7 linked regions of the Ovis aries genome follow. The protein of the gene in region 4 purifies or fractionates together with the protein of the main gene of each other region. This does not show direct contact. Links are inferred from orthologs where the notes say so. Each region holds a gene or a part of one and is shown on either strand. Other genes may lie near its edges.

What was found.
Region 1: the proteins of LIN37 (region 4) and TFDP1 purify together in Homo sapiens (co-immunoprecipitation; 3 studies listed by BioGRID and IntAct, with this or other methods). This does not show direct contact. The link is inferred for Ovis aries from reciprocal best matches to the Homo sapiens genes LIN37 and TFDP1.
Region 2: the proteins of LIN37 (region 4) and E2F4 purify together in Homo sapiens (co-immunoprecipitation; 4 studies listed by BioGRID and IntAct, with this or other methods). This does not show direct contact. The link is inferred for Ovis aries from reciprocal best matches to the Homo sapiens genes LIN37 and E2F4.
Region 3: the proteins of LIN37 (region 4) and RBL1 purify together in Homo sapiens (affinity purification with mass spectrometry; 3 studies listed by BioGRID and IntAct, with this or other methods). This does not show direct contact. The link is inferred for Ovis aries from reciprocal best matches to the Homo sapiens genes LIN37 and RBL1.
Region 5: the proteins of LIN37 (region 4) and MYBL2 purify together in Homo sapiens (affinity purification with mass spectrometry; 6 studies listed by BioGRID and IntAct, counting the BioPlex papers as one, with this or other methods). This does not show direct contact. The link is inferred for Ovis aries from reciprocal best matches to the Homo sapiens genes LIN37 and MYBL2.
Region 6: the proteins of LIN37 (region 4) and RBL2 purify together in Homo sapiens (affinity purification with western blotting; 5 studies listed by BioGRID and IntAct, with this or other methods). This does not show direct contact. The link is inferred for Ovis aries from reciprocal best matches to the Homo sapiens genes LIN37 and RBL2.
Region 7: the proteins of LIN37 (region 4) and CDK2 purify together in Homo sapiens (affinity purification with mass spectrometry; 3 studies listed by BioGRID and IntAct, with this or other methods). This does not show direct contact. The link is inferred for Ovis aries from reciprocal best matches to the Homo sapiens genes LIN37 and CDK2.

Annotation. Positions count from the first base shown.
Region 1 is NC_056063.1:86,051,571-86,055,631, reverse strand, and holds the start of TFDP1 (transcription factor Dp-1), read right to left. Parts: upstream 2,801-4,061; 5' UTR 2,672-2,800; intron 1,855-2,671; exon of another isoform or gene 1,709-1,854; intron 1,434-1,708; exon of another isoform or gene 1,322-1,433; intron 968-1,321; 5' UTR 905-967; coding exon 893-904; intron 1-892. UniProt on the Homo sapiens protein: Can stimulate E2F-dependent transcription.
Region 2 is NC_056067.1:34,395,840-34,400,041, forward strand, and holds the start of E2F4 (transcription factor E2F4), read left to right. Parts: upstream 1-1,402; 5' UTR 1,403-1,475; coding exon 1,476-1,610; intron 1,611-2,029; coding exon 2,030-2,139; intron 2,140-2,280; coding exon 2,281-2,442; intron 2,443-2,767; coding exon 2,768-2,811; intron 2,812-3,538; coding exon 3,539-3,600; intron 3,601-3,817; coding exon 3,818-4,115; intron 4,116-4,202. UniProt on the Homo sapiens protein: Transcription activator that binds DNA cooperatively with DP proteins through the E2 recognition site, 5'-TTTC[CG]CGC-3' found in the promoter region of a number of genes whose products are involved in cell cycle regulation or in DNA replication.
Region 3 is NC_056066.1:66,021,735-66,025,234, reverse strand, and holds part of RBL1 (retinoblastoma-like protein 1), read left to right. Parts: intron 1-1,677; coding exon 1,678-1,944; intron 1,945-3,009; coding exon 3,010-3,221; intron 3,222-3,500. UniProt on the Homo sapiens protein: Key regulator of entry into cell division. Directly involved in heterochromatin formation by maintaining overall chromatin structure and, in particular, that of constitutive heterochromatin by stabilizing histone methylation.
Region 4 is NC_056067.1:45,772,032-45,774,693, reverse strand, and holds the end of LIN37 (protein lin-37 homolog), read right to left. Parts: intron 2,649-2,662; coding exon 2,573-2,648; intron 2,389-2,572; coding exon 2,338-2,388; intron 2,019-2,337; coding exon 1,989-2,018; intron 1,909-1,988; coding exon 1,823-1,908; intron 1,736-1,822; coding exon 1,569-1,735; intron 1,019-1,568; coding exon 713-1,018; 3' UTR 630-712; coding exon of another isoform or gene 548-629; 3' UTR 501-547; downstream 1-500.
Region 5 is NC_056066.1:72,197,176-72,201,247, forward strand, and holds the start of MYBL2 (myb-related protein B), read left to right. Parts: upstream 1-1,272; 5' UTR 1,273-1,303; coding exon of another isoform or gene 1,304-1,323; 5' UTR 1,324-1,612; coding exon 1,613-1,734; intron 1,735-4,072. UniProt on the Homo sapiens protein: Transcription factor involved in the regulation of cell survival, proliferation, and differentiation. Transactivates the expression of the CLU gene.
Region 6 is NC_056067.1:21,330,667-21,334,166, forward strand, and holds part of RBL2 (retinoblastoma-like protein 2), read left to right. Parts: intron 1-1,851; coding exon 1,852-1,923; intron 1,924-2,585; coding exon 2,586-2,691; intron 2,692-3,500. UniProt on the Homo sapiens protein: Key regulator of entry into cell division. Directly involved in heterochromatin formation by maintaining overall chromatin structure and, in particular, that of constitutive heterochromatin by stabilizing histone methylation.
Region 7 is NC_056056.1:163,556,693-163,560,758, forward strand, and holds the start of CDK2 (cyclin-dependent kinase 2), read right to left. Parts: upstream 2,801-4,066; 5' UTR 2,680-2,800; coding exon 2,564-2,679; intron 1,842-2,563; coding exon 1,764-1,841; intron 1,647-1,763; coding exon 1,526-1,646; intron 878-1,525; coding exon 707-877; intron 256-706; coding exon 154-255; intron 1-153. Other genes in the region: melanocyte protein PMEL, read left to right, coding at 3,688-3,763. UniProt on the Homo sapiens protein: Serine/threonine-protein kinase involved in the control of the cell cycle; essential for meiosis, but dispensable for mitosis. Phosphorylates CABLES1, CTNNB1, CDK2AP2, ERCC6, NBN, USP37, p53/TP53, NPM1, CDK7, RB1, BRCA2, MYC, NPAT, EZH2.

The sequences.
Region 1 (4,061 bases), on a different chromosome or scaffold from region 4:
AAGTTTACTCACGATGTTCTATGGGTTCACAACAAATGTAAACAAAGCAGAATTGTTCACATTCTGTTTATCACATTTCATTTTTTTCTGAGAAAAACAGTTGCCAAGTCCAGTGCTGAGCGTCTTCATGGGTGGAAGCTGAACTAACTCCCGGGGGGCACACAAAGCAGCTGCTCAGGGAGGCTCGCCAGCCCCGCGCCTCCACAGGCAGGGGGTCCTCTCACAGAGCCCTGGCTGATTCACAAGTCAGCCAGCCTCCAAGAGACCCAGGAGCGTGGCGGCGGCCAGCCTCCAACCAGCCTCCAAGAGACCCAGGGGCCGGCGGCGGCCAGCCTCCAACCAGCCTCCAAGAGACCCAGGGGCCGGCGGCGGCCAGCCTCCAACCAGCCTCCAAGAGACCCAGGGGCCGGCGGCGGCCAGCCTCCAACCAGCCTCCAAGAGACCCAGGAGCCGGCGGCGGCCAGCCTCGAGACGCAGCCTCCAAGAGACCCAGGAGCGTGGCGTCGGCCAGCCTCCAACCAGCCTCCAAGAGACCCAGGAGCCGGCGGCGGCCAGCCTCGAGACGCAGCCTCCAAGAGACCCAGGAGCGTGGCGTCGGCCAGCCTCCAACCAGCCTCCAAGAGACCCAGGGGCCGGCGGCGGCCAGCCTCGAGACACAGCCTCCACCGCTCAGGCCTGCGTGGCCCAGGCAGAGGCCAGCATGGCTCAGGCCGCGCGCAGCGCCACCGGCTGTCCCCGCCTCCTCACCTTTACTGTGTCTCTTTGCTGGAAAGGTCTGAACACCGACAGGCCCGCAGTTTATGTGTGGTCATTCTGAAACAAGGTGGGGAGTGACCGAGAACGCAGTGCTGGGCAAACATCGGTCCAGCACAAAGCAGACACACGTACTCACATCTTTTGCCATGTTACCAGTTCCGTGAAATCGATGCTAGTAACGGTCACCCTCCAGAAAAGAAAAATGGTTTTCCTGGTAAAAAGAAGGAGAGGGGAGTCATGAGCCAGGCTGAAACGAGAAGCTGACACCGCCACCGTCCCCTCAGCATCACCACCCATCTAAGCGGCAGGAGTCCCTTCCTCTCCAAGCCCTCGCTCCGTCCCGGGGCGGGGGGTGCGGGGGGCGGCCCAGAAACGCCCCCCGCCCGGGCACTCTAAAGTCATCTCAGGCAGGGAAGCGTCCACAACCCGGCTGCCCGCCGGCCTCCCCGAGGCGCACAAAGACCCGGCGTGGACCAGCCTGGCACCGCGGCCCGATGCCCCCCCCCCACCCCACCCGGAGCGGCCCCGCGCGCACGCGCTCCCCGCGGACGCCCCCGGGGCCCACCCGCGACCACCGGCCGACCGGTAACTCTGACAGGTGGGCGTCCGGGGCCGCGGCCTCCGGCCTGGCGCTAGGCCGCGGCCGCCTCCCGCGAGCGCCCCCCGCGCGCCGCGGCCGGCAGCCGGCGGGCAGGTGGGGCCCGCGCCCCGTCCTCGGCCCCCGGCCCCGCGCGCCCGCCCCGCCCCGACCCCCGCCCGGCGCGCGCGCCGCTCCGCCCGGAGGCTGCGCGCAGGCCCCGCCCGCGCCCCGGCCCGCGCCCCCCGCGGGGGTCACCGGGGCGCCCCGGCGGCGGGCCCGGCGCGCGGGGGGCCCGGGGCGCACGCGGCGCGGGGCGGGGGCGGCGCGGCCGGGCGCCCGGCGCGCGCCCCTGGGGACCCCGGCCCGCCGCACCTGGCGGGCGGGCGGCGCGGGCGGCGGGCGCGCAGCCGCGGGCGGCGGGCGGGGGGCGGCGGGCCCGGCGGCGCTCGGCCGGGGTCCCTGCCCTGCCGAGGCGCCGGGCGCGGGGCTCACCCTGCGAGCGTCGGGCGGCGTGACGTGCGCGGCGCGGTGACGTGGGCGGCGGCCCGGCTCCCGCAGCGCGCCTGCGCGCCTTTTCGCGCCTTCGGCGCCCTCCTCCTCCTCCTCCTCCTCCTCCTCCTCCCCCCCCCCGCCCCCCACTCTCCTCCCGCCGGGCGGCCCGCGCTTGGAGGAGATGAGCTGCTCCGGCGCGTGCCCGCGTGTGCGCGCGTGCCCGCGTGTGCGCGCGCGCCGGCTGCGGATGGAGAGGAGGGCCTGGCCCGGGACTCCGCGGTGCGCGTGCGGGGGAGCTGAGTCAGGGATGTGTGCACACGTGCGCACACGGGGCACAGGGATGGGGGTGCGCGTGCGTGTGTGTGCACCCTGGGGATAGGAACTGGGACGTGTGCACCTGTGCGCACACGGGGACCGAGGCCTGGTGTGTGTGGACGTGCATGCTCCTGGGCGTCACGGGCTGGGGGTGTGTGCGCACTCCGTCGGCACTTGGGAACCAGTGGAAGGTGTGGAGATGAGTGTGTACACACACGGGGCCAGGGATGGGGGTGCGCGTGCGTGTGTGCACAGCCAGTAGTAGCGGATGGATGCGAGAGTGTGCACAGAGGCCAGAAGTGTGTGTGTGCGCGCGCGCGTGCAGATGTGCGCACTCGGGGGAGCGGGCTCGAGTAGCGCACAGTGAGTGTGCTCTTGGAGGAGCAAGGCAGGCTGGAGTTGTGCCCGCAGGCGTGTTTGAGCGGGTGCATGTGTGTGCACAGGAAGAGGAGGTCGGGTGTGTGCTCGTGCAGATGCTCGGAGGTGACAGCGTGTGCACGCGCAGTGCCCTGTCCGCCGAGTGCTCACCTGTTCCTGCCCAGCCCGAGGTCTCCACGCCCACGCCCGGCCTCTGCCCAGGCTCTGAGTCTTCTGGACGGAAGGGTGCCGGCCTGCTCCTTATCACCAGGTGGCCTGGGCTGAGTGGAGTCTGACCCTGGAGACTTGCCCCCGGCGGTTCACCATCAGCCCAGCCAGGGCAGGCGGGGCGTGGGGGCCGAGTCCAGAGTTCATGGGGCACAGAGGACTTGAGCTATCGCCTTACACGCTGCCTGGGACGGTTCCACAGTTTAACCACTTTCAACCTGCTTCTCTGGCAAGCCACTCCAGTCTTGAACTCTTACCCTTAATTAGCGTTGGTTTCTTGAAAAGCAGGAATCTTCCCATTCTTCCTGCTGATCGGTATGCTTTCTACACTTAGAGCAACAGGGGTGATGAAGACCCGGCGGGAGGAGTGGGGAGTAAAAGGCTTCGGAGGGACCGTCCTCTGTCCCTGCAGGCTGGACACCTCTGCCTCCCTGTGGAGAAACATGCATAGCTCCCCACTGGGAGGGCTGTGGTGCCTGCACCTCCCACCCCGTTCTGTTTCTCAGAAAGTCTGTGTTCCTCACCCCACTGCTCTTTCCAAGAAATTCCGTCTTTCTCACTGTGTTGGAGTCTTCACCCCCATGTGGCAGCCAGAAGCCGCTCCCTGGGGCTCAGGTGCACAGACGGACAAGCCTCTGGGTGAGGGCTGGGTGCTTGGAGAGAGGAGAAACACAGGATCAGAGTCCGAACCCGAGTCCTCTCCCCACAGATTCGAGAGTCCAGTCATTGACCAGTATTTACAGGGGATAACTAGCTCTCATATTCAAAATCATTTCTGCACAGAAATCACTCGTGAAACACTCTGAGCTCGCTAGCGCTGCCGCAGCATTGAAACAAACCTCTGGCTTTCTCGGAACCTCTGCCTTTATAGTCAGTTACCCTACAGAACGCCTGTACCTCTGTTGAAAGGTGACAACGTAATTTTGGTTGAAGATCCAAATGTTTTTGGCCACATCTCGCCTTGAAACCCCTAGGCTGGCAGAGACGTGACCTAGGCGGGTGATGACCCCACGCGTGTGTCCGTCAGTCCTGCCTGCTCTGGGGAGTGTGCCAGAAGTTGCGGTCTTAGAGAGCCTTCCACCAGTGTCCACTTGCTCCTCCTCCCTGGGGCTGCACCGTCACTGTGTCTTCCGGGACAGCACGGGGAGATGGTGCTGCTCCGTGTTCCGTTAGAAGGCTGACCCGGGCTTCCCAGGAGAACGCCCGCCTGTCACTGCGCCCCCTTTCTTTGTGGGCCTGATACAAAGCCTTACCCCCACCCCCGTTAAACTCTCCTTTGAAGAGAGAGAAAGTTTTCTAATCCCTTGAAAATCTGAATTCGAAGTCTTAAATA
Region 2 (4,202 bases), about 11 Mb from region 4:
CACAGACAGGAACTAGATGGCCCCAACCTGGGTGGAGAGGAAGGTGTGCTGATATGGATGCAGACAACATCACAGTGTGAAAACTGTGTTGACAGGCCCTTAGAGGCAGGTATGCCTCTGCAGAGGAGCAAGAGACCATAGGCTATTGTGAGGAGGGTGTGTGGCGGGAGATGGCAGAGAGGGGTGGAAGAGCTATGAAAGCTTGTTTGTCTTGGAGATAAAAGGAGCCATGAAAGGGACTGGTGCTGCTGCTTAGCTGCTTCAGTCGTGTCTCTGTGCCACTCTATGGACTGGAGCCCATCAGGCTCCTCTCTCCATGGGGTTTTCTAGGCAAGAATACTGGAGTGAGTTGCCATGCCCTCCTCCAGTGGAACTGACTACTAGGTAGTAATAATGCTGTGGACACTGGCTACCACCCAAATCCACCCTTCAGGACAAAGACACTCATTCCCCTAGCTGCCCGAAATGTAGGCTAATGAGGTCTCAGATCTGAGTCTCTTGGTCAGTGTTAGGGTATAAGGGCCAGGTAGGCCTTGGAAGGGGTACCCCAGTTTCAGTGCTCCTAGAAGGACAGAGCCCTCCATTTTAACTTCCTCACAGTTTAATTCTCCTCTCTGCCCTGTTTGGCCTGTCTTATTTCCTTACAAGTGTGGCTTCTCAGTAAACTTCCTGCTGGCACATCTCTTTCTCAAAGACTGTTTTCCAAAGAACTTGACCTAAAATAAACTATAATAAATGATAGTGTTAAAAATAACAAAATGATACTAGCAAACACATAATCCTTCCACATGCCAGAAACTGCTCTAAGGGCTTTACATATATTTACACATGGGTAAATATGTTTGCATCGGTTGAAAAGTGGTTTTAATCCCATGGCCTCTGAGCACTGTAGTGTGGAGACAAGAGAAAGGCGAGGCTGGGATCAGGGGAAGAAAGTGGGGATGCAGACAGGTGAATAAGCTAGATGTAGTTAGTGCTTGCTGTTTGGCAGGAACTGAAGGACAGGAATAAGGAGGGTAGGTGATCCCAAGAGAGTGGGGCAGTCTTTTAGGAGCAGGTTTGGGAAAACACATTGGGTTCATCAGGCAGCAGGGTCTCCTCTCCTGAGATGAGGGTTGGGGCACAGTTAGTCGAGTTGGGTCAGGTTTGCCAGCCAGGAAGGTTCCAGTGATTCCTCCTTACTGCTCCTGAGGCTACCCAACGACTTCCTCCACATGCTTCCTCGACCACATCTGTCTTCCGGGATCCTGGGGTTATTTTCGTCCTCTTCGGCGGTTGGACATTTGATGATGGTCCCTCAAGTTTTTCGGCCATGTCTGCTGAGAGGAATTGTGACGGACTCCCTGGAAGGGAACGAAGCGGAAGCGGAAGTAGCGAGGCTGGCGCCGGCGGCCGAGCAGCCAGGAACGGAAGCGGAAGTGGCGGCGGCGCCGGCCTGGCCTGGCCTGGCTGAGGGGAGGCGGCGGGCGGGCGCGATGGCGGAGGCCGGGCCACAGGCGCCGCCGCCCCCAGGCACCCCAAGCCGGCACGAGAAGAGCTTGGGACTTCTCACTACCAAGTTCGTGTCGCTTCTGCAGGAAGCCAAGGACGGTGTGCTTGACCTCAAGCTGGTGCGGCCCGGGCTAAGGGACGACAGGGGGATGGTGGACCAGGCCTGAGCCGGTAGAGGGAACCCCCGGGGCGGCCCAGCTGAGCCCTCAGAGCAGGCCGCCATACATGTGCTTCTCACAAGCGGGAGGCCGGGAGCTGTTTCATTCATTCGGCTAAGGCTGTTCATCGGATGTCAGCTTTGTGGCAAGCTTGAGGCTGCGGGTGGTAGTCCTCGTGGCCCTTTCCAGCAGGTGTGGGGAAAAGAGCATCGGAACATCAGCTCAGGCTTCGTCTGGCCTCTTCCCGCCCCACAGTCCTGAGCTGCTGTAGTGCCTGGGGAGGAGGGCTAGAATTCAGGCCACCCCCTTTCCAGACTACTCCAGACCGAGTCCCCCGTGAGAGTGGGACTGAGCATTTTCCATTCTCTTCTCCTTGCCAGGCAGCTGACACCCTAGCTGTGCGCCAGAAGCGGCGGATATATGACATTACTAACGTGCTGGAAGGTATCGGGTTGATTGAGAAAAAATCCAAGAATAGCATCCAGTGGAAGTGAGTGGGGGCACCGGGGTCGGCAATGGTATCTCCTACCCAGAAGTGTCAGGAGTGTGGGGTGGAGGGTGGCAGAGAGAACAGGGGCTGTAGGACCCAGAGTGCCAGGCAGTCCCTCTTAGCTCTCCTTCCTGGATTCAGGGGTGTGGGTCCTGGCTGCAATACCCGGGAGATTGCGGACAAGCTGATTGAGCTCAAGGCAGAGATCGAGGAGCTGCAGCAGCGGGAGCAAGAACTAGACCAGCACAAGGTGTGGGTGCAGCAGAGCATCCGGAACGTCACAGAGGACGTGCAGAACAGCTGATATCCTCTTATCGGCGGTCCTGGCTCCCGGGGAGTGGGCGATGGGCCCTCTAGTCCAGCTGGGTGTGCTCTGTGTCCCCTAGTCTCTGTCCCACTTGGGAGGATGGTCCTCCAGCTCCTGGCCAGGTTTCAGCCTCCGGTTCCCTCCTCGGAGCCTCTCCACCCACAGTCTTGGCCTGTGATCCCTCCCCCATGTAGACCCCAGGCCTCAGGGCTTCTCTTTGTGAGCATGTATGTCAGACCTCTGCTGCAAAGCTGGGTCTTCGCTGTGTCAGTTATCTGTCACCATAGGCAGGGCATCAGCCATTCTCCTTAACCCCCACACCTTGGCCTACGTGACTCATGAGGACATCTGCAGATGCTTTGCTGGTGAGCAGAGCCTGGGTAGGGGGAAATGGGGGTGGGACTGGGCTGAGCCACAGCCCTGAGCAGTGGACTCGGTGCTTGAGAGATTTCCGTCTCTTAAGAGGGTTCCTGGGGCCTGCTCAAAGAAGAACCAGACAGGGTAAGGCCTAGATTTGAGGATCTCTGGGACCCTATGGAGGCTCACCATGCTGAGAGGGTACAGGAAGCCTGGACTGGGTCTCTGGGTCAGCCACCACCTGCATCGCCCCCTAGGTTTGGCTTCTCAGGTGTGACAGAAGCATACGAGGGGAGAAAGTGTGTGTGCCTGTTTGTATATGCTTGTGTGCAGGGGGCAGTGGTACCCACTTCCAACCTGTAGTTTAGTTGCACTGTAGGTACAGGAACTCTTCCTCGTCCATCTTGCATCTCCCAGGCTGGTTCTGGGGAAGAGCTGTTGGCCTTGGCCAGAACATCTTTGCCTAGGGAGCAGCCCCATCAATTGAATGAGGTGCCCATGGCCACTAATCTCTTGCTCCACATATCTGAACCCAGATTTTCTGGTTACTGACCTTTGGGTTCTTAGGAGAGAAAAAGCTTTAGTTTTCTCCCCCAGCCTCAATAGGGAGTGAGTGAAGCCTACTGTCCGCCCCCTCCGGGACTATGACGTCCTTCCTTGTTCTGAGGGATAGGCACCCCATTCCCAGTTCAAATTGAGCCCATGGGCCTTGATCCATCGTCTTTGTCATCCTAGGAGACACTCTCCTTGCCATCCGGGCCCCGTCGGGCACCAGCCTGGAGGTGCCCATCCCAGAGGTGGGTGCTCAGCCCAGCCGGGTGGGGTGGATTGAGGGCGGGTGCTGGCTGTGGAGCCCGATAAGTCCCGGGTGGGGCAGGTAAGGGGAGGCCTAGGGTTTGAAGTTATCTAGGGGAACGGGCAGCCCAGGGTGGGAGAGGATACTGGCCCTGGCCCAGGGTCAGGCAGGAGCCAAATCTGCTTCCAATTCCACCTGTCCTCCACCCCCACATTCAGGGCCTCAATGGGCAGAAGAAGTACCAGATTCACCTGAAGAGTGTAAGTGGCCCCATTGAGGTGCTTCTGGTGAACAAGGAGGCATGGAGCTCACCACCTGTGGCGGTTCCTGTGCCCCCACCCGAAGACCTGCTCCAGAGCCCGCCTGCTGTCTCTACCCCTCCGCTTCTGCCCAAGCCTGCCCTGGCCCAGCCCCAGGATGCCTCACGCCCGAGCAGTCCCCAGGCAACCACCCCCAACCCTGTCCCCAGCAGCACCGAGGCCCAGGGGGTGGCTGGTCCAGCAGCTGAGATTACAGGTGAGACACAAGGGGTATGTGGTAATGAGGGACTTCGGGGACCCAAGAAGCAATGTTTCTGTGTGACGAGATGAAATACTGAGAGTT
Region 3 (3,500 bases), on a different chromosome or scaffold from region 4:
ACTGGAGTGGTTGCCATTTCCTCCTACAGGGGATATTCCTGACCCAGGAATCAAACCAGCCTCTCTTATGTCTCCTTCATTGGCAGGCGGATTCTTTCAATACTGAGCCACCTAGGAAGCCCTGAGCAAAGGTTTTTGAGCTTAATATGCATTACCTGAGAGGCAGGGTTCCCAGAGATGGGCCATTATGGATAATTTAAGCTTATAGGCAACATCTCTTTAGTGACTAACCTATAATAAAGGTTCTTCCCTATTATATGGCAGTAGGATTTTGCAGTGAAGTGAGATTAAGTTCAACTCCTAGTACAAAAGAGAAAGTAGGAATTTAGCTGATGGGCGTTTGTGTTATTTCTACCTGTTGGCTTTTATGAATATCACTGATGTGAGCATTCAGGTAATATATTATTTTTATAATTAGAAGAAAATTATTTTCTTGTAGGGGTTCATGCAAGAGAATCAAATAATAGAAAATCCTTAGAAAACAATAATATTGAGCCTTGACTCTAGTGGGGAAAAGACAGTTTATTAATTTGTATAGTTACTAAATTTTTATTGAATGTCTACTGAAGCTTTTCCAGTACTGTGCTAGGCAAAGAATCATTTCAAGGGGTTTGCAGCTAACTTGGTGGTTATAACATGCATTTTCCCCCTTGAAATGTCAGCTCTGAACATTCCTAGTTAGCTTCAAGGACTACATTGGTTTTCTTAGAAATAAGACATAAAGGTAGACTTCTGTTAAGGAGTAATGGGCTACAATAGAACTTCCCACTTGTTTGCTAAGGCTGCAAGTCAGAGCTGCTTTCATAACCCCCAGAATTAAGAAGAGATTTTTATTAAACCATAACTATTTCCCCAGTTACCTCAGAAATACAGAGTTGTCAAATTATTGCCAGAGGTAATTTTTATACCTTATAAACATGTTTTGAAAATAGATGACATGTCTGTTACACGCTAATGCCTCAAATTAAGCGTCATAACACTTCTATTCATCTTCTAGTGGGTTTGTAAAAGATGGTTCTGTGTCTGCTAAATCAGAAAGCCAAAGCTATTGCCTTAAACTGTTTGACGTGTAGATGTGTGGGAAGAGAGAAAATTGTGAACCAAATCACTGATTTTTCCTTTTTATCGGGAGGAGACAGAAGTTAGTTGGACTACTTTTCTAATTTAACAGTCACTGCATTCTACCTCTCAGCTTCTACTTTCCCCATAATATTTTGGTTCTTTAACGTAGGCAGAGGTTCAAGAAACCAGGAAGGTTAGCTATTGTAATTTTATTTTAAGATTTATTTCATTCTTCTCTCTCCCACTAGATTCGATATTGCATGAGGACAAAGGCTGTTATTTTAGCATAGTAACTCAGTATCTAGGGCTTTCCTGTTGGCTCTGTTAAAGAATCCACCTGCAGTGCAGGAGACACAGAAAATGCAGGTTCAGTCCCTGGGTCGGGAAGATCCTTGGAGGAGGGCATGGCAGTCCACTCCAGAAATCTTGCCAGGAAAATCCCATGGATAGCGGAGCCTGGCAGACTACAGCCCATAGGGTTGCAAAGAGTCAGACACGACTGAAGCGATTGAGCACACAGTGTAACACAACTCAGCATCTGTTGAACGAGTGAGTAAACCTGATTGTGTCTGTTTGAAATACAAGTCAGACTGTTAAAATTTTTCTCTTTATTAGATATGCAACCATTGTCTCCGATTTCTGTCCATGAACGCTACAGTTCTCCTACTGCTGGGAGTGCTAAGAGAAGACTTTTTGGGGAAGACCCCCCAAAGGAAATGCTTATGGACAGGATCATAACAGAAGGAACAAAATTGAAAATTGCTCCTTCTTCAAGCATCACTGCTGAAAATATATCAATTTCACCCGGGCACAGTCTTCTAACAATGGCCACAGCCATAGTAACAGGGACAACAGGACATAAAGTTACAGTCCCATTGCATGGTAATATTTTGATGCATTTATTTTTTTTTGAAATGAATAAAAATTTAAGAAATGTCTTATTGAATTATATCACATGGTCTTATTACTCCTGTATTTTCTCCCGGACCTGTACTCTTTTTCCTCTAGGAGTAGTTTTAGGTTCATGGCAAAATTGAGTCTTTCTTGCCATCAGTATCCTGCACCAGACTAGCTCATGTATTACAACTGATGAACCTTCATTGTCACATCATTATCACTTTAAGTCCATAGTTTACATTAGTGTTCACTCTCGGTGTTGTACATTCTATGAATTTTGCAAATGTCTAATGACACATATCTACCATTATACTGTTATACAGAATAGTAACACTGCCCTAAAGCTCCTCAGCACTCCCCCTTTAGTTTTGTTTTGAATGTATAGAGGCTTTCCTCATTTTATTGCACTTTGCTTTATTGAACTTTACAGATAACTTTTTTTTCTACAAATTGGATTTGTGGCAACCTTGTGTTGCTGGGTGATGATTAGTATCTTCTTAGCAACAAAGTATTTTTTAACTGAGGTACATACACTTTTTTGAACATAATGCCCATAACACACCCCATAGACTGCAGTATAGCAAAAGCATAATTTTTATATGCCTTGGAAACCAAAAAATTCATGTGAATCATTTTATTATGATATTCACTTTATTGTGGTTCTCTGGAACCAAACTCTTAATATCTCTGAGGTATACCTGCACAGTTTTTTGAATTTTCATATTTTATGGATTTACTACTCTGTTAGGAGTTAGTTTCTTACCTGAGTTTTACAAATGAGTGCGTTGAGCAAGAATTTTGTTTAATGGTTAAAAACATCTCCCTTAGACCACCAAAGAGAACAGTATTATTGTTTCAGAGCAGAAATAGAAAACAAAAATATTATAACCTAGAATTACTATTTTTGTGGCTTTCTTCTTCTACCATTACTATGCACAGATAGATAGTAAACAAGAAGAGGGAGGGAGGGAGGAATGAGCGAAGAAAGAAGTATTGATAACTTTTCTGGGACACATTTCTAAAACTAAGAACTCTTGCTTGTACATTCAGGTATTGCAAATGATGCTGGAGAGATCACACTGATACCAATTTCCATGAATACAACTCAGGAGTCCAAAGTTGAGAGTCCTGTATCACTTACAGCTCAGTCATTAATTGGTGCTTCTCCAAAGCAGACCCATTTGACCAAAGCACAAGAGGTACATCCAGTTGGAATAAGCAAACCAAAGAGAACTGGGTCCTTAGCACTGTTTTATAGAAAGGTATGTATTTTTATAGCATCTAAAAAGATCTCCTTTAATCAGTGCAATAAAGATTGAGTAACAGAGGACAGCTTTGGCCTTTTTTTTGTATGTGGTAAAATATACATAAAATTTACTATTTTAACCATTTTTAAGTGTACAGCTAAGTATCATTAGTACATTCACGTTGTTGTGCAGTTTCCACTACTGTCCATCTCCGGAGCTTTTTCATCTTCCTAAACTGTAATTCTGTACCCATTAACAGTAACTCATTTCTCCCCTCAACCCCCAGTCATCATT
Region 4 (2,662 bases):
TCCCACCCCGGACCATCCTGGCCTGGTCCCCAAGACTCTGGATCCTTCCCTTCATTCCAACCAGATACACCACTTCTCACCCTCTCCCTCCAACCCATCTTCTAACCTGAAACCTCAGCCAGCCACTCCCAGATCCTTGAACGCCTTTTCTGACCCTACCTTTGTACCCCTATTCTAAGCCAACCAGAACCCTCAACCTCGAACTGTACAGATACCTACCCCTCCTCCCCAGAGTCTGCACAGATATCTCACGCTATCCAGAACTCCTCAGTCACTTTGTCTTGACCCCCCAAATCTCCAACCACAACACCCTCCCCTTATTCTCCAAGACCCAACCAAGCAGCCACTTTCTTTAATTCCCTACAATCTTTCTCCCTCCTCAAATTCCCTGATGCCCCATCCCCTACCTAGGTCCACTCCCCCAATAAATGTGCTAGAGCTGTGCCAACTGTTTTATGTCTGATCCAGGAAGGATAGGCTGTAGTAAATGGAGACCAGTGTGGAGGAGAGGAATGTTTATTGGGATGAGGGTGGGGACAGGGGAACATCACTGTCGCTCGTACATCTCCCGTAGGATCTTCATGCTCTCTGAGTAACGAAGCTGGTTCCGATGAGATGCCTCCTTCCACCTGCAGTGGGGGTGGGGGAAAAGCAGAGGGAGGACTCAGCAGTTGGAGCAGAGGCCACAGAGAACAAGCTGGTGGGGGGATGCTCACCTCTGGCGGATACGCTTCCAGCGCTGCATGTTACGGTAGATAAGCGTGGAGGGTGAGGGCTCAGGCTCGGAGGGCTGCATGACAGAGAGGCCAGGCTGGGTGACCACACTCATACCCCACAACACCTGCCCCATGGCCCTGAGCCAGCCCAGCATACTCACCTCATCATCAGGGGTACCCTGGGTCTCAGGCTGCAGCGGGGATGGAATTCGGGATCTGCAGGCGTCTCCAGGTGGCCCAGGAGCTGTGGGTGGAGGCAGCTTATACACATCACGACTCTTGCTGTTGGTGACTTCAGAACCCTGGGGATACAAGGACCCACACCAGACCCAACAGAGTCAGAGAAGAGGGTCAGGGACATCATTTCACACCTTCCCCAGCAACAAAAGACATGAAGGTTTCTCCAGGGACTTGTACTTAGGAGTCATGTGTCTGCTCCAAGGACCCCTGTCCAACCCAGGGACCCCTGATCACTCCTGCCCAGCATAGAGACCTCCATCTATGGAGACCTCCATTCCTAGCCCAGGGGGTTGCCATCTGCTCCCCTAGACCAGGTGGCTATACCTGGTTGCCCTAAGGACCCCTGCCTAGTCTCTCAGCTCTTGGTGACTTCTGATCTTGGAGGGCACATCTATTTACCCAGGAACCCTGTCTCCTCTGCCTCTCAGACCAGAGAGCCATGTCTGTCTGCTCTAGGGCACTCCAACCTTTGCCCTGGCCTAAGGGTTCCTATCTATGTGCTTCACCAGATTCAGGAGTCACTGGTGTTCTTGTCTGCCAGGGAGGGTGCTTTGTGACTGCCTACCCATTGCACTCCTGGGCTGCTGGGCAGGAACCCACCACCCATCTCACCTCCTCATCCTCAGGCAGGGGAGGCAGTGGCGAGCTGGGTGAGCGTTCACGCTCACGCACTGTGGGGCTGTTGCGCATCCAGGCTCGGCAGATGGGGTACAGTGGCGTGTTCTCACTGAACTGAGCCAAGTCCACACTCCGGTCAAACAGCTTGATCACATAGGTGTCTAGAGTGGGGCGAGTAGGAAGGGTATGAACATCCTTGCCTAGCCCCCCCAATCACTGCCTGCCCTCGAGGGCCACCGCCTACTCACTGGATCGCTGTGGCCCTCCCTCAGCCAGCCCCTCATCCATCTCCCTCCTCTTCTTCCTCCGCTGGTGGGGGAATCGGGCAGATGGCCTGTGTGGGGAGGGAGTACATCAGGACCGGGGTGGGGACTACAGACCTCTCATCAGCTGGTGGGGCCCCTGCCACCTTACCGTTTGCCAGTGGCCGTGATGGAGCAATCCCTGTGGGGAGAGACAGGGTGTCATGTTAGCAGGCTTGCCCTTAAACGAATGCCTGCTCACAACCCCTCAAAAAGCACCCTGGGGGTACTGTGAATGAGCTCAGAGATCCCACCAAACCCTGCAGCCTTGGGTCCCACCCCTTGCAAGCTGACGTGCCATCATCAGGGGACCTGAGTTTCTGCTGCTCCATGGCTTTTGTACGTGAAGAATGGTTAAGACTGTGATGGAGAAAGCACAGGGCAGGGGGCTCAGGGCTCAGATGAGGAAAGAAGTTATCTACCACAAACCCTCAGACACAGATCCCATCAATAAAACTTACTTGTTGTGGGTGTCTGAGGAGGTCTTCCCAGGTTCCTCATCCAGACGCTCCCTGGTAGCAGAAGAGAACTGCATGCTCAGGGTTCCCAGGGCCCAGGGTGGGAAAGTACCCAGTGGCCTCATCCACTGGGCCTCTTCCTTCCTAAGTCAGTCTCTGGGGTCCCACCCACAACCAGAGGGTCCCACCCGCTAGGGCCCCCAACTTCCCATGACCCTGTCCTGGGTCAGATCCCAACCTGTCCATGTGACTCTTCTCTAGCAGACACTGCAGAACAGCATCCAGTTGGTTCCGGGCCTTGGCCATCTCCAACTCTGGGGAAGAGGAG
Region 5 (4,072 bases), on a different chromosome or scaffold from region 4:
CGACTGAGCGACTGAACTGAACTGAAACGAATTTAATGCAACCAATGAATTCTGGGCCTTGGGGATACTGCTGTGAATTGAGGGGCCCCTTGAACTTGACTTCCCTGGTGTCTCAGATGGTAAAGCGTCTGCCTGCAATACGGGAGACCCAGGTTCGATCCCTGGGTTAGGAAGATCTCCTGGAGAAGGAAATGGCAACCCACTCCAGTATTCCTGCTTGGAGAATCCCAGGGACAGAGGAGCCTGGTAGGCTACAGTCCATGGGGTCGCAAAGAGTCGGACACGACTGAGTGACTTCACTCACTTTGAACTTTAGCAAGCCCATAGTTCAAATCAGGACATGCATAAGTCAGCAAGTAGACTGTGGGCTGTGGGCTCTTAAAGGAGCAATAGGAACTAGTTCCGGTGGGAGAAGTGGGAAGTGTATCCGCCCCAGCAACGGCCAGGAGGCTGAAGAGTTTCCTCCCGCTAGGGGCGGGGTGGTGGTCTGGCAGACTGCTATAAACCTGATTGCAGAATATTTTACCCTGAGGGAGAGGACAGAGACTTTAAGTTCTGGAGAGGCAACATCAGGTTTGCTTTTTAGGAGGCTTGCTTTGGGCTGCCAGGAGTCCAGCTGAGGAGCTGGAGCCACTTGAGTTCAAGGCTGGAAAGGAAGAAGGGAGTGGTTTCCAAGTCTCAGCCCTGGCCTAGGTGTAGGTGAGGAGGCCGCTTTGGGGTGGGGGTGAGGGTGTAGGGACATAGGAGCTGCTTGGACTAGCGCTGGGCTCTTAGCACAGGTAGTTTCCCTCGGCCTCACTCTCCCACCCTTGCGGCTCATTCCCTTTTCTCAGTCTTCCCTCCTCCAGGCCTGCCCCAAGGCTCTCGGCCGGGCCTTGCCTCAGTCACCAGGTTGCGGGGTCAAAGCCGCGCCCACGAGCTCCCTGCCCTGGGAGCTTCGGTGCTGTGCCCTCGGGCCTTCAGGCCCCGCCCCGCGCGGCTCGCTGGCCCCGCCCCGAGCACGGCCCTCCCGCTGGCCCCGCCCCGCGTCGCTCGCTGGCCCCGCCCCGCGCACCAGCCCGCCCGCGCGCCTGGCCCGGGCGGCGCCGGCGCGCTTGGCGGGAGATAGAAAAGTGTTTCTGTGAGCGCCGGCGGCGGCCGCAGTCCCCGTGAGCAGCGGCCGGACCTGTGGTCACGCTGACGCCTCGCCACGCGGCCCCGGGGCCCGGAGCGGCCGGAGCAGCTCGCACCCTGACCCCGGCCCGGCTCCCGCTCCGGGCTCGGCCGGCGGGCGGGCGAGCGCGGCGCGGCCCGGGCCGGGGGGATGTCGCGGCGGACGCGCGGGTGAGCGGAGCCGGCCGGCGGAGGGCCCTTCCCCCCTCCCCAGGCGCCATCCTCCTCAGCCCCGACCCCCTCCCCGCACCGCCACCCTCGCCGGGGCTTTTCCGATCCCGGCCCGGCGCGGTTGGGGTCGGCGGAAAACTCAGGTGTCCCGCGTCGCCTGACGCGGGGAGGCGTCGAGGGTGCGCGCGAAGCCGGGGAGCTCTCGGGGGCTCCTCGCTCGGCACCCCCGGGCCTGCTGGGCCTCGGAGCTGGGGCGAGCGGGTCTCCTGGGACCCGGGCCAAGCCTTGTATGATGTCATTTTGTCTCCCGCCTAATTGCGGGGTGGGGGTGGGACGGTGGTGTCAGCTGGAAGGGCCTTTACCGGGGAGGGAGGCGACCCCTGGAGAAGAAAAATTATTTTCGAAGTCGCGGTGAGTGGGAGGCGAAAGCCTGGAAGACGCTTGTCTTTGGAGCCTTTTGGGGGGTCTGGTTTTGCCGGTGGGCATTTCTTAACATTCGGGGAAGCACGGAGCACTCCCGGCTCTCTCCCCTGACCTAGGAGGGTTGCTGGGGCCGGGAGGGACTTTTTGGTCCCTCACCACCTGGGCTCGGGGCCTTAGGTCGGTCTCGCTCCGGAGACCTTCTTCCTGTCCTACGCGCGGGGGTTGGGGCAGCTGGGGTTGAATGCAAGGGGAAGAGAGACTGATCTGTGCCAGCAACCCCTGGGGCGGAGGCAAGAACTGCAGTCTCCATTTTACTTATCCCCCAGAGTTTGAATGGCAGAGACAAGCCAGAAATCAGGTCTGTGGGTTCCATGTTCCTGTCTTACACCTGTTCCTTGAGTGTCTGAGTTCTAGGCTTTTCAACCAGTCTGGGAGTCACACTACAGAACCACAGGGGGTTCTGACCTGTTCCCTCCCAGGATTCCTGTATCCATACCAAATAGCCTGAAATATCTCGCTTCAGGTGATGTTTGCCTTCACAGGCTTCTCAGCAAGGAAACATCTGATCCCTGGGAAGTCATCAGGCACAGGGTGTGTCTTCCTCAGGCCATGGTTTCTCAGAGCAGCTCCAATTCCCAGGAGTTATTTTCTGGGCAGGCGCTGGTCAGGCCCTGAATTTCTGGTTCAGGAAGTGTTCACTCCAGGCAACAAACCCAAAGCCCCTGAAAACCCCCAGGTCTTCTACCATCTATGCCCTGGGGCTCAGTGGAAGAATCCCAGCTCCCAGGTGAGGGATGGGTTCTGCATCCTGGAACCCCACAGCATTCAGTTTGATTCTTGGCCACTTGCTGTAACTCTCTTCTGCACAGTGTCCTACTTCCTGCTCAGCTTCTGACTCACCCCAACTGGAGCAGAGCCCAGCACATGGAAGGGCATAGAAAGGGTGTGTGAGACCTCCACGTGGTTGCACTACTGACTTAGCCTCTGCTTTTCCTGCTGGGATTATCAGATGAGGACCTACAGGTGCAGGTTAACCCCTGCGAGCTTCGTGTGTGCGTGCTAAGTCGCTTCAGTTATGTCTGACTCTTTGCAACCTTATGGGCTGTAGCCTGCCAGATCCCTTTGTCCATGAGATTTTCCAGGCAGGAATACTGGAGAGGGTTGCCGTGCCCTCCAGAGGATCTGCCTGACCCAAGGATTGAACCTGTGTCTTTTATGTTTCCTGCATTGGCAGGCGGGTTCTTTACTGCTAGTGCCACCTGGGAGCTCAGTTTTCACATCTATTAAATGGGGATAATGAGAATGCCTGTGAAGCAGACAATCATTACTGTGATGGCGGTATAAGTATATTAAACCTCACGGAATTGTCCCAGCCGCAGTACTGTCCGCATTAAATAGAGTATTCAAGCTCCAGAGGGTGTTCACACAGAAATCACTTTGTCCTTGAAGGAACATTTGCTGAGCTTCTGTTAGAAGCTGGGTGTCAGAGAACCAAAGATAGTTTCTGTTAGAACAGAGGCCGGGGTCAGTTGATGTTAAAGCCACTTCTTTCTGTTATTAGTATCTTGTAGAATCTCCTATTTTGAAATGGTGGAGTACTCCATGAATTGGGTTGGGAATGACGAGACAAGGTTGAATTCCAGCTCTCATGACAGGTGTTGGTGGGTTTAGACAGCATCTGTCCCTTCCTTACCTCATTCTAAAAGTTGACTTATGTTAGCATTTCTGATCAACTAAGAGGCAGCAGCTTTGCATGTTTATCAGTCATTCATTCCTGTATCTGGCCATTTCCAGAGCAAACATTTCTTAAGGCATTTTGGTGCCATCCTCCAAAGGCAGATACGGAGGTGAAGGTGACCTCTGTCCCGGTTGTCAAGGAGATAGGCATTTGCAACCTAAGGGCCTATGTTATGAGACAGGAGGATTTCCAAGGCGCTCTGGGGAGTGTGGGAGTGACTAGGGAGATGCTGAGAAGGGGAAAGGAGGGTGGCTGCAGAAGGAAGTCCTCTTCCTTCTTTTGATACCTGACCTGTGCTTGGAGACTCATAGACTTTTCCTGCGTAAAAATGCATGCCTGAGGAATGTCCCTGACAGGTCCACCTGAGTTGGGAGGGTGCTCCAGTGAGTCCCAGACATCCCTGGGCGTGGATAGCGTGATCTTCATTTTTGTAAACATTATACCACGTAAATAGGAAGATGTTGGAGTGACTTAGAAAATTACTTATTAGAAAATAAAAACATTCAGAATTCAAAGTTGCTTGTACTCTGATTTTTTGCTCCATAAATTAGGCCTGTGTGAAGGCAAAGATTGAGAAGGGGTATGCAA
Region 6 (3,500 bases), about 24 Mb from region 4:
GCAAATTTGGGAAACTCAGCAGTGGCCGTAGGACTGGAAAAGGTCACTTTTCATTCCAATCCCAAAGAAAGGCAAGGCCAAAGAATGCTCAGACTACCGCACAACTGCACTCATCTTACACACTAGCAAAGTAATGGTCAAAAGTCTCCAAGCCAGACTTCAGCAGTATGTGAACCATGAACTTCCAGATGTTCAAGCTGGTTTTAGTAAAGGCTGAGGAACCAGAGATCAAATTGCCAACATCTGTTGGATCATCAAAAAAGCAAGAGAGTTCCAGAAAAACATCTATTTCTGCTTTATTGACTATGCCAAAGCCTTTGACTGTGTGGATCACCACAAACTGGAAAATTCTGAAAGAGATAGGAATACCAGACCACCTGACCTGCCTCCTGAGAAATCAGTATGCAGGTCAGGAAGAAACAGAACTGGACATGGAACAGCAGACTGGTTCCAAATAGGGAAAGGAGTACATCAAGGCTGTTTATGGTCACCCTGCTTATTTAACTTATATGCAGAGTACATCATGAGAAACGCTGGGCTGGATGACGCACAAGCTGAATCAAGATTGCTGGGAGAAATATCAATAACCTGATATGCAGATGACACCACCCTTCTGGCAGAAAGTAAAGAAGAACTAAAGAGCCTCTTGATGAAAGTGAAAGAGGAGAGTGAAAAAGTTGGCTTAAAGCTCAACATTCAGAAAACTAAGATCATGGCAACTGGTCCCAGCACTTCATGGCAAATGGATGGGGAAACAGTGGAAACAGTGGCAGACTTTGTTTTTTGGGGCTCCAAAATCACTGCAGATAGTGACTGCAGCCATGAAATTAAAAGGTGCTTACTCCTTGGAAGTAAAGTTATGACTGACCTAGACAGCGTATTAAAAAGCCAAGACATTACTTTGCCAACAAAGGTCTGTCTGGTCAAGGCTATGGTTTTTCCAGTAGTCATGTATGGAGAGTTGGACTATAAAGAAAGCGAGCGCCAAAGAATTGATGCGTTTGAACTGTGGTGTTGGAGGAGACTCTTGAGAGTCCCTTGGACTACAAGATCCAACCAGTCCATCCTAAAGGAGATCAGTCCTGAATATTCAATGGAAGGACTGATGCTGAAGCTGGTACTCCCAAAACTTTGGCCACCTGATGTGAAGAACTGACTCATTTGAAAAGACCCTGATGCTGGAAAAGATTGAAGGTGGGAGAAGGGGATGACAGAAGATGAGATGGTTGGATGGCATCCCTGACTCAATGGACATGAGTTTGAATAAACTCCAGAAGTTGGTGATGGACAGGGAGGCCTGGCAAGCTGCAGTCCATGGGGTCACAAAAAGTCAGACACGACTGAGCAACTGAACTAAGACTAATGTTTTTTAAATAAATTTAGAAGGTTTCAGCCTTTGAACATTTCTTCCTGCTTCACTCCTTCTGGTACTCCCATTATGTGACCTTGATGTGCTTAATGGTATGCCCCATTTCTCTGAAGCACTTTTAATTTTTCTTCATTCTATCCTCTGCTCTGTGAACGATTCCATCTCAGGTTTATTAAACTTTTCCTTTGCCAGTTCAAATCTAGTTTTTCATTCGTCTAATGAATTTTCTGTCACTATGGTTTATTCTAGGTCTTGATTCAGATACCACATATTCCTTCTGTTGTTACTGAATTAGTAGATTTACTTGAATATATAGTTCTTCATTTGTTGTATGCTTTTTAGAGACATTTCCAGAGACTTTAAATGGTTGTTTTTTAATGCGATTTTCACCAGTGTCACTGGGGAGCAGGTTCAGGAATCATCTCATACTATATTAGGCTAGAAGTCAAATTCATTCTCAGTGTACCCTTATTCTTTGCCAGGTCACAAAAGAAGACAAGTCCTTCCAGAATATTATGCGTTGCTATAGGACTCAGCCACAGGCCCGGAGCCAGGTAACTACATTTTCCCTCAGGGCTGAAAATAAAGATGAAAGTCTTTTTGATTCATATAAAAAAATTAACTATAAGAGGCTCCAAGTGATTCTGTAGCCTCTTCTCCAGGATAAAAAATAGGACTCTATTTTAATCTTATTTAATTATTGACAGCCACACATCTTGATTAGTTTAAGTTCTCTTTTCCCCCAAAGTTAATGATGTAAAATATTTGATTCCTTTTTAATTCAGATAATTACAAGATAGATGTAAATTAGGAAGCTGCTGTTTGGATTCTATGTCACCTTGAATTCAGTCTGGTTTAGGACACACAGTGCTACACATTTAACCAAAATAGCATTAAGTGAAATTTTAAAACCCATTTTACCTTTAATGCTATATAGGTGTCTCGAAGAAATAGGTCGGTACGATCTTTGTATCTGACTTAGAATGACTTGATTTTATAATTAGGTATTATTGCTGCTCTGTAGTATTGTAGGCAGCACTTGGAAGTTGAAGCCTGACAGGCCCTGATACATAACCTTGGCTGCATTTACACACCTCCCCTGAGCAGGACAGCTATTACTGTAGGGAACTGTGAGAATTAAATGATGTGAAAGCTGTGTAGTCTAGGATGTGCTCAGTAGATACTGCTCTGTCGCCTTATCATGCTCTGCTTAAAGGTGTATAGAAGTGTTTTGATAAAAGGGAAAAGGAGAAGAAGAAATTCTGGCAGCAGTGACAGCAGAAGCCATCAGAATTCTCCGACAGAACTAAACAGGGACAGAAGTAAGTGGGATCTTTATGGATGCATACAACTAAATTAGCAGCTCCTCTTTTTGTTAGGTCTAGGACTAAAGAATTACTAAAATTACTGTTGTAGAAACTGTGAAAACAGTTTATTGGGAAAAGATTTGTTGGAACAATAAACAATTCTAAATTTAGTAGCAAAGTTGTCCTTTATTCCATGGTTTTGAGACACACTGTGCATAAACATTTTTCTTTAGGGGTACTAGAAAAGGTTAGGGAAGACAGGCATTTGTTGACCTGAGTTCCAGAAAAATGTGGCATGTCAACAGAAACCATGCTATGGAAATACCATCCTTAATTGCTGGTTTATACCACTTAATGCAGGGCTCGGTCCTAGAAAACTGGTGTCAATTAATGAATACTTGCTACAATTAATGAATACTTGGTGTCAATTAATCAGGCCCTTGCTACATTAATAGCATGATAGTAGTTAGTGGGGCTTCCCAGGTAGCTCAGTGGTAAAGAATCCACTTGCCAATGAAGGAAAGCAGAAGATGTCGGTTCGACCCTTGGGGTGAGAAGACCCCCTGGAGCATGGCAACCTGCTCAAGTATTCTTGCTGGGATAAACGTATGAACAGAGAAGCCTGGTGGGCTACATCCAGTGGATTCGCAAAGAGTCGGACACAGCTGAACATGCACACACACAGAGTTAGTACTAAATCCCTTGTCTGTGCTTTGCTCCTCGGTGTAGAGGGCCCATTTGCTGCCGTTTAACAAGGAGAACGGGTAGCTGTTCACCCTCCTCTTCCTGAAGTTTCTTTTTAAAAGCAAACTGCACCAGCAGTC
Region 7 (4,066 bases), on a different chromosome or scaffold from region 4:
AGCCCTCTCCTTTCTCCATGACCCCCTTTGTGCTACTCTAAAGGAAGAACCCTGTGATAAGAGAAGGACCATGGGTCTGGGCCAAGAAACAGTTCTGTTGTTCTTGAGTGTGGGAAGGAGTGGGCTGAGTAGACCATGGGCATGCCTCCATACCATCTCAGCAAAGATGCAACCGAGGCTCCATATGTCCACTGCTGTGGAGTAGTATTTGCAGCCCAGAAGGATTTCCGGTGCTCGGTACCACAGAGTCACCACCTGAGGAAAAGAGTACAGGACATGAAGATATCCACACGTCAGTTTCTAAACACTATTCTGCTAACTCAATTTCTTCACAAGCAACTTCTATCCCTCCATCCTTCCCTTTACTCTCATTGCCCCTAAGTAAAATAACTGGGTACAACTTCTTAGCCCAGAGTTAGCCTAATCCATGGTTCTGGGGAACATATATTCTGAACCCTCAATTTGCAACCTTCTTGGAAAACTTGAGGCAAATGGTCATAATTTTAAATTTCATGCCTTCCACCTGTCTCCTGGCTCGGTATCTATCAATATATGAATTCTGTGCATACTCTAAGACCTCTTGTGGTGTCAGAAATACTTTCCATCTAGTGAGAAACTGCTGGCCAGATCGTTACTAAAAACTCTATGAATGTCCTTGTTAACACCTCCCAGGAAGTTCAGAGAAGACATGCAGAGGAGGACTCACCTCGTGGGTATAAGTACGAACAGGGACCCCAAAAGCTCTGGCTAGTCCGAAGTCTGCTAGCTTGATGGACCCATCTGCGTTGATAAGCAGATTCTGAGGTTTAAGGTCTCGGTGCAGGACCCGATGAGAGTGGCAGAAAGCTAGGCCCTGGAGCAGCTGGAACAAGTAGCTCTGACAAGGGGAAAGAAAAGACTCTGTTTTTCCACCACCGTGAGCAGATTAGGGTCTCCTCTGTAACTCCAAAGTTCTACTAAAGCCTTTACTAGTTAAATTGTAATTATGTTTTCAAGCTATTTCTCCAGTTGGACTGTCAACCCATTGAGGATAAGATCAGGTCTCATTCAGTTTTGCATTTATGTTCCATAGCGTGGACCAGCACATTGAAAGTGTTCAATAAATGTGTGTTGGATGTTTGTTGGTTGATCGAAAGTAGCTTCCGGAGTAAGGAACCCAGAAAAATGGACAACAGAGACTCACTGGCTATTTCTCCCACCAAACAGGTGGAAGGGCTTTCTGGAGGCATCTACCAAGTACCCCCCAGTCCCATTTATCCGAGTTTCATCTCAAGAACCTTCCACCTGAGCTGCTAAGTTGACTTACTAGAGTTTCAACTTCTTTGATTCCCCTGCCCAGCCCTAGGGTTAAAAGCATAATGAGCAGTGAAAGAGCCACAAGAAAAGGTGTGTGCGTGTGTGTGTGTAGGGGGGTGAGGGCTGGGAAGGAAACCAAGATAAATCAACACTCAGTCCGGATTGCCTGCTTTCAGTCCGGACTCCCAAAACATGCCCATGTTGGGGAGGAGTTGATGAGAAGGAGTACCTTTATGAGCGGAAGAGGAATGCCAGTGAGTGCAGAGGCATCCATGAATTTCTTGAGATCCTGGTGCAGAAACTCAAAAACAAGGTAGAGTTTGTTTTCTGTGTGAATGACATCCAGCAGCCTAGGGAAGGGGGAGGTCCAGGAATACACGTGAGGGAGAGAAAGGCCCAGACAATACAAACAGAAGACATTCTCCTTTACTGTCAGAGCACCTCCCACCTCCCAGATACATACTTACTTGACAATATTAGGGTGATTAAGCTCCTTAAGCAGAGAGATCTCTCGTATGGCAGTACTGGGTACACCCTCTGTCTCACTTGGAGAAGTTGAGAAAGCAGAGATGGGAATGTGGTTACAAATATTTCTTTTCCCTCAGCAGTACAGTCATTCCCCCCACCCCACCCACAGCCCCCACCAACCCAGCATCCCCTAATTAAGTGAGAGAAAGGGTGCTTCAGTGGTTAAATCATGGATGGACAGGAGTGTCTTTTTAGACCCATTAAGATCATCATATCTTCTTTGCCCAGGGCTGGGTTAGCAAAGCCTCTTGGTGAAGTTAAAAGGGGGAAAAGTGTGTGTGTGTGGAAGTAACAACACCCAGCCTCTCTAGAGGTGCCAGTAAGGTTCAACTGCCATTCTTTTGAAAGAGAGAATTCTAAGATGCGGGTGGGGTTGGGGCACTGAGGGCTGGTCTAGTCATTTATAAGGGTGCTCTTTACCACTTATCACAAAACCCATCTCCTCGTCGGGGAGTCCTGGATCCCATCTCAAAAGGCTCCTTCCTCTTCCTGACACTTTCTGACTGTACATTTGGGGACATCGCCCGCCTCTGGGGAGGAAATTTCCCATGGATTCTACACTATCCTATAGTCTCCACCGGGAAACCCTCTACTCGTCCTTCAACCCACCTCTCCACTTCAAAAGACTTCCCTCCCTGCTACCTTCCGGTCCCTGGAAGGCTACCCGCCTGTTGCGGTGGGGGTGGGGGGCACTCAAGGAGCTCCCGAGTCAGGACTCCCGGGTACAGAGGCCACTCACGTGTCCAGGCGGATTTTTTTAAGCGCCACCACTTCTCCCGTCAACTTGTTTTTGGCTTTGTACACAACTCCGTACGTGCCCTCTCCGATCTTTTCCACTTTTTGGAAGTTCTCCATGAAGCGCTAGCGAGTCGGGTCAGCCCGGCCCTGGAGCTGGGGCCTGGGAACCTGCAAAAAACGGCACCCAGCTCTCGGGGGCCGAGGAGGGAAACAGGGCCCAGCACCGCGACCCGAGGTCGGGATGGAACGTAGTGTATCTCTCGCTCTTGTCAATTTGTCCAACTTGAAACAATATTGCCGCCTCCCCCCTCTAGTTCCCTACCGCCACCAGAAGCCCCGCCTCTCCTTCCCGCGTTTCCCTGGCTCCTCCCTCAGATCTTCCTATTGGTCTACGTCAGAGAGGGCGGGGCCAGCCCTGTGTCCCTCGCTGCAAACGACCCCACCCCGAGTAACTTTGGTTCCGAGGAGTATTAAGGATAAATTTTTATCTGGATGGGGAGGCTGAACACCTTTTTCCAAGTATCTGATTTGGGATCGAGTTTTCTCTCTGTGTCCTGAGTCTATAGGGATTTCCTGATCTCTAATCACCGTTTTCACCACCCTAAGGAAAATATGTATTAAATTCCACCTCGCCCTGGAGCCTCCTCTGAAAGCAGGAAACTGGAAATCTCATTGTAAGGGTTTCCTAGGGCTCCGAAGAGTCGTTGTCCCACTTCTCTCAGCCTACCCCAATACTGTCTGTTTTTGGACCCAGGGTCGCTGCTTCTACAGTTATTTTGAGAGGTTCCTGGTTTGACTCACAATAGATTGATCCACTCTCCAATGATGAACCCTGTGCGTCCGGTACGTGTTATGTTTTGTAGCTGCCCTTCAGTCATTTTTTCCCCGCGAGGGGAGATGGAGTACTTTAAGATGAGACTGACCCTGTGAAGCCAGAAACTGTCAATGAGTAGCATGATGTCCAGGGACCAGGATCCCTCCTCTGTTCTGTCTCTCAGATCCTTCTGCTCCTCCCAGGATTTGCCTGGAGGGAGGGGAGGAAGGGCTATGCAAATAAGCACCCCCTTCTTATACAGGGGTTTGTCCAATGCCCCAGAGTCTTTGGTTGCTGGAAGGAAGAACAGGATGGATCTGGTGCTGAGAAAATACCTTCTCCATGTGGCTCTGATGGGTGTTCTTCTGGCTGTAGGGGCCACAGAAGGTGAGTGTGGGATGTGTGGACATGAACAAGTGTGAGTTTAGGGTTACACACCTGCTCTGGTTTTTCTCTCCCTAAAGTGGAAGATAGCAGCAGTGCTTCAGGTGTTTCTCATCCATTTGATTTAGTGAGGACATGGGCAACTGAGCTCCCTCCCCACATGAAGATTTGGGTGCATATGTGTTCAGGCACTTGGGACTGAACCTGAAAACAACCCCATCTACCTGGACGGGTGAGAGAACAGTATGTCTCTGTGGCCCTAATTTTGAGATGCTCTGAATAGTGAGCTGGAACATGGGTGCCAAG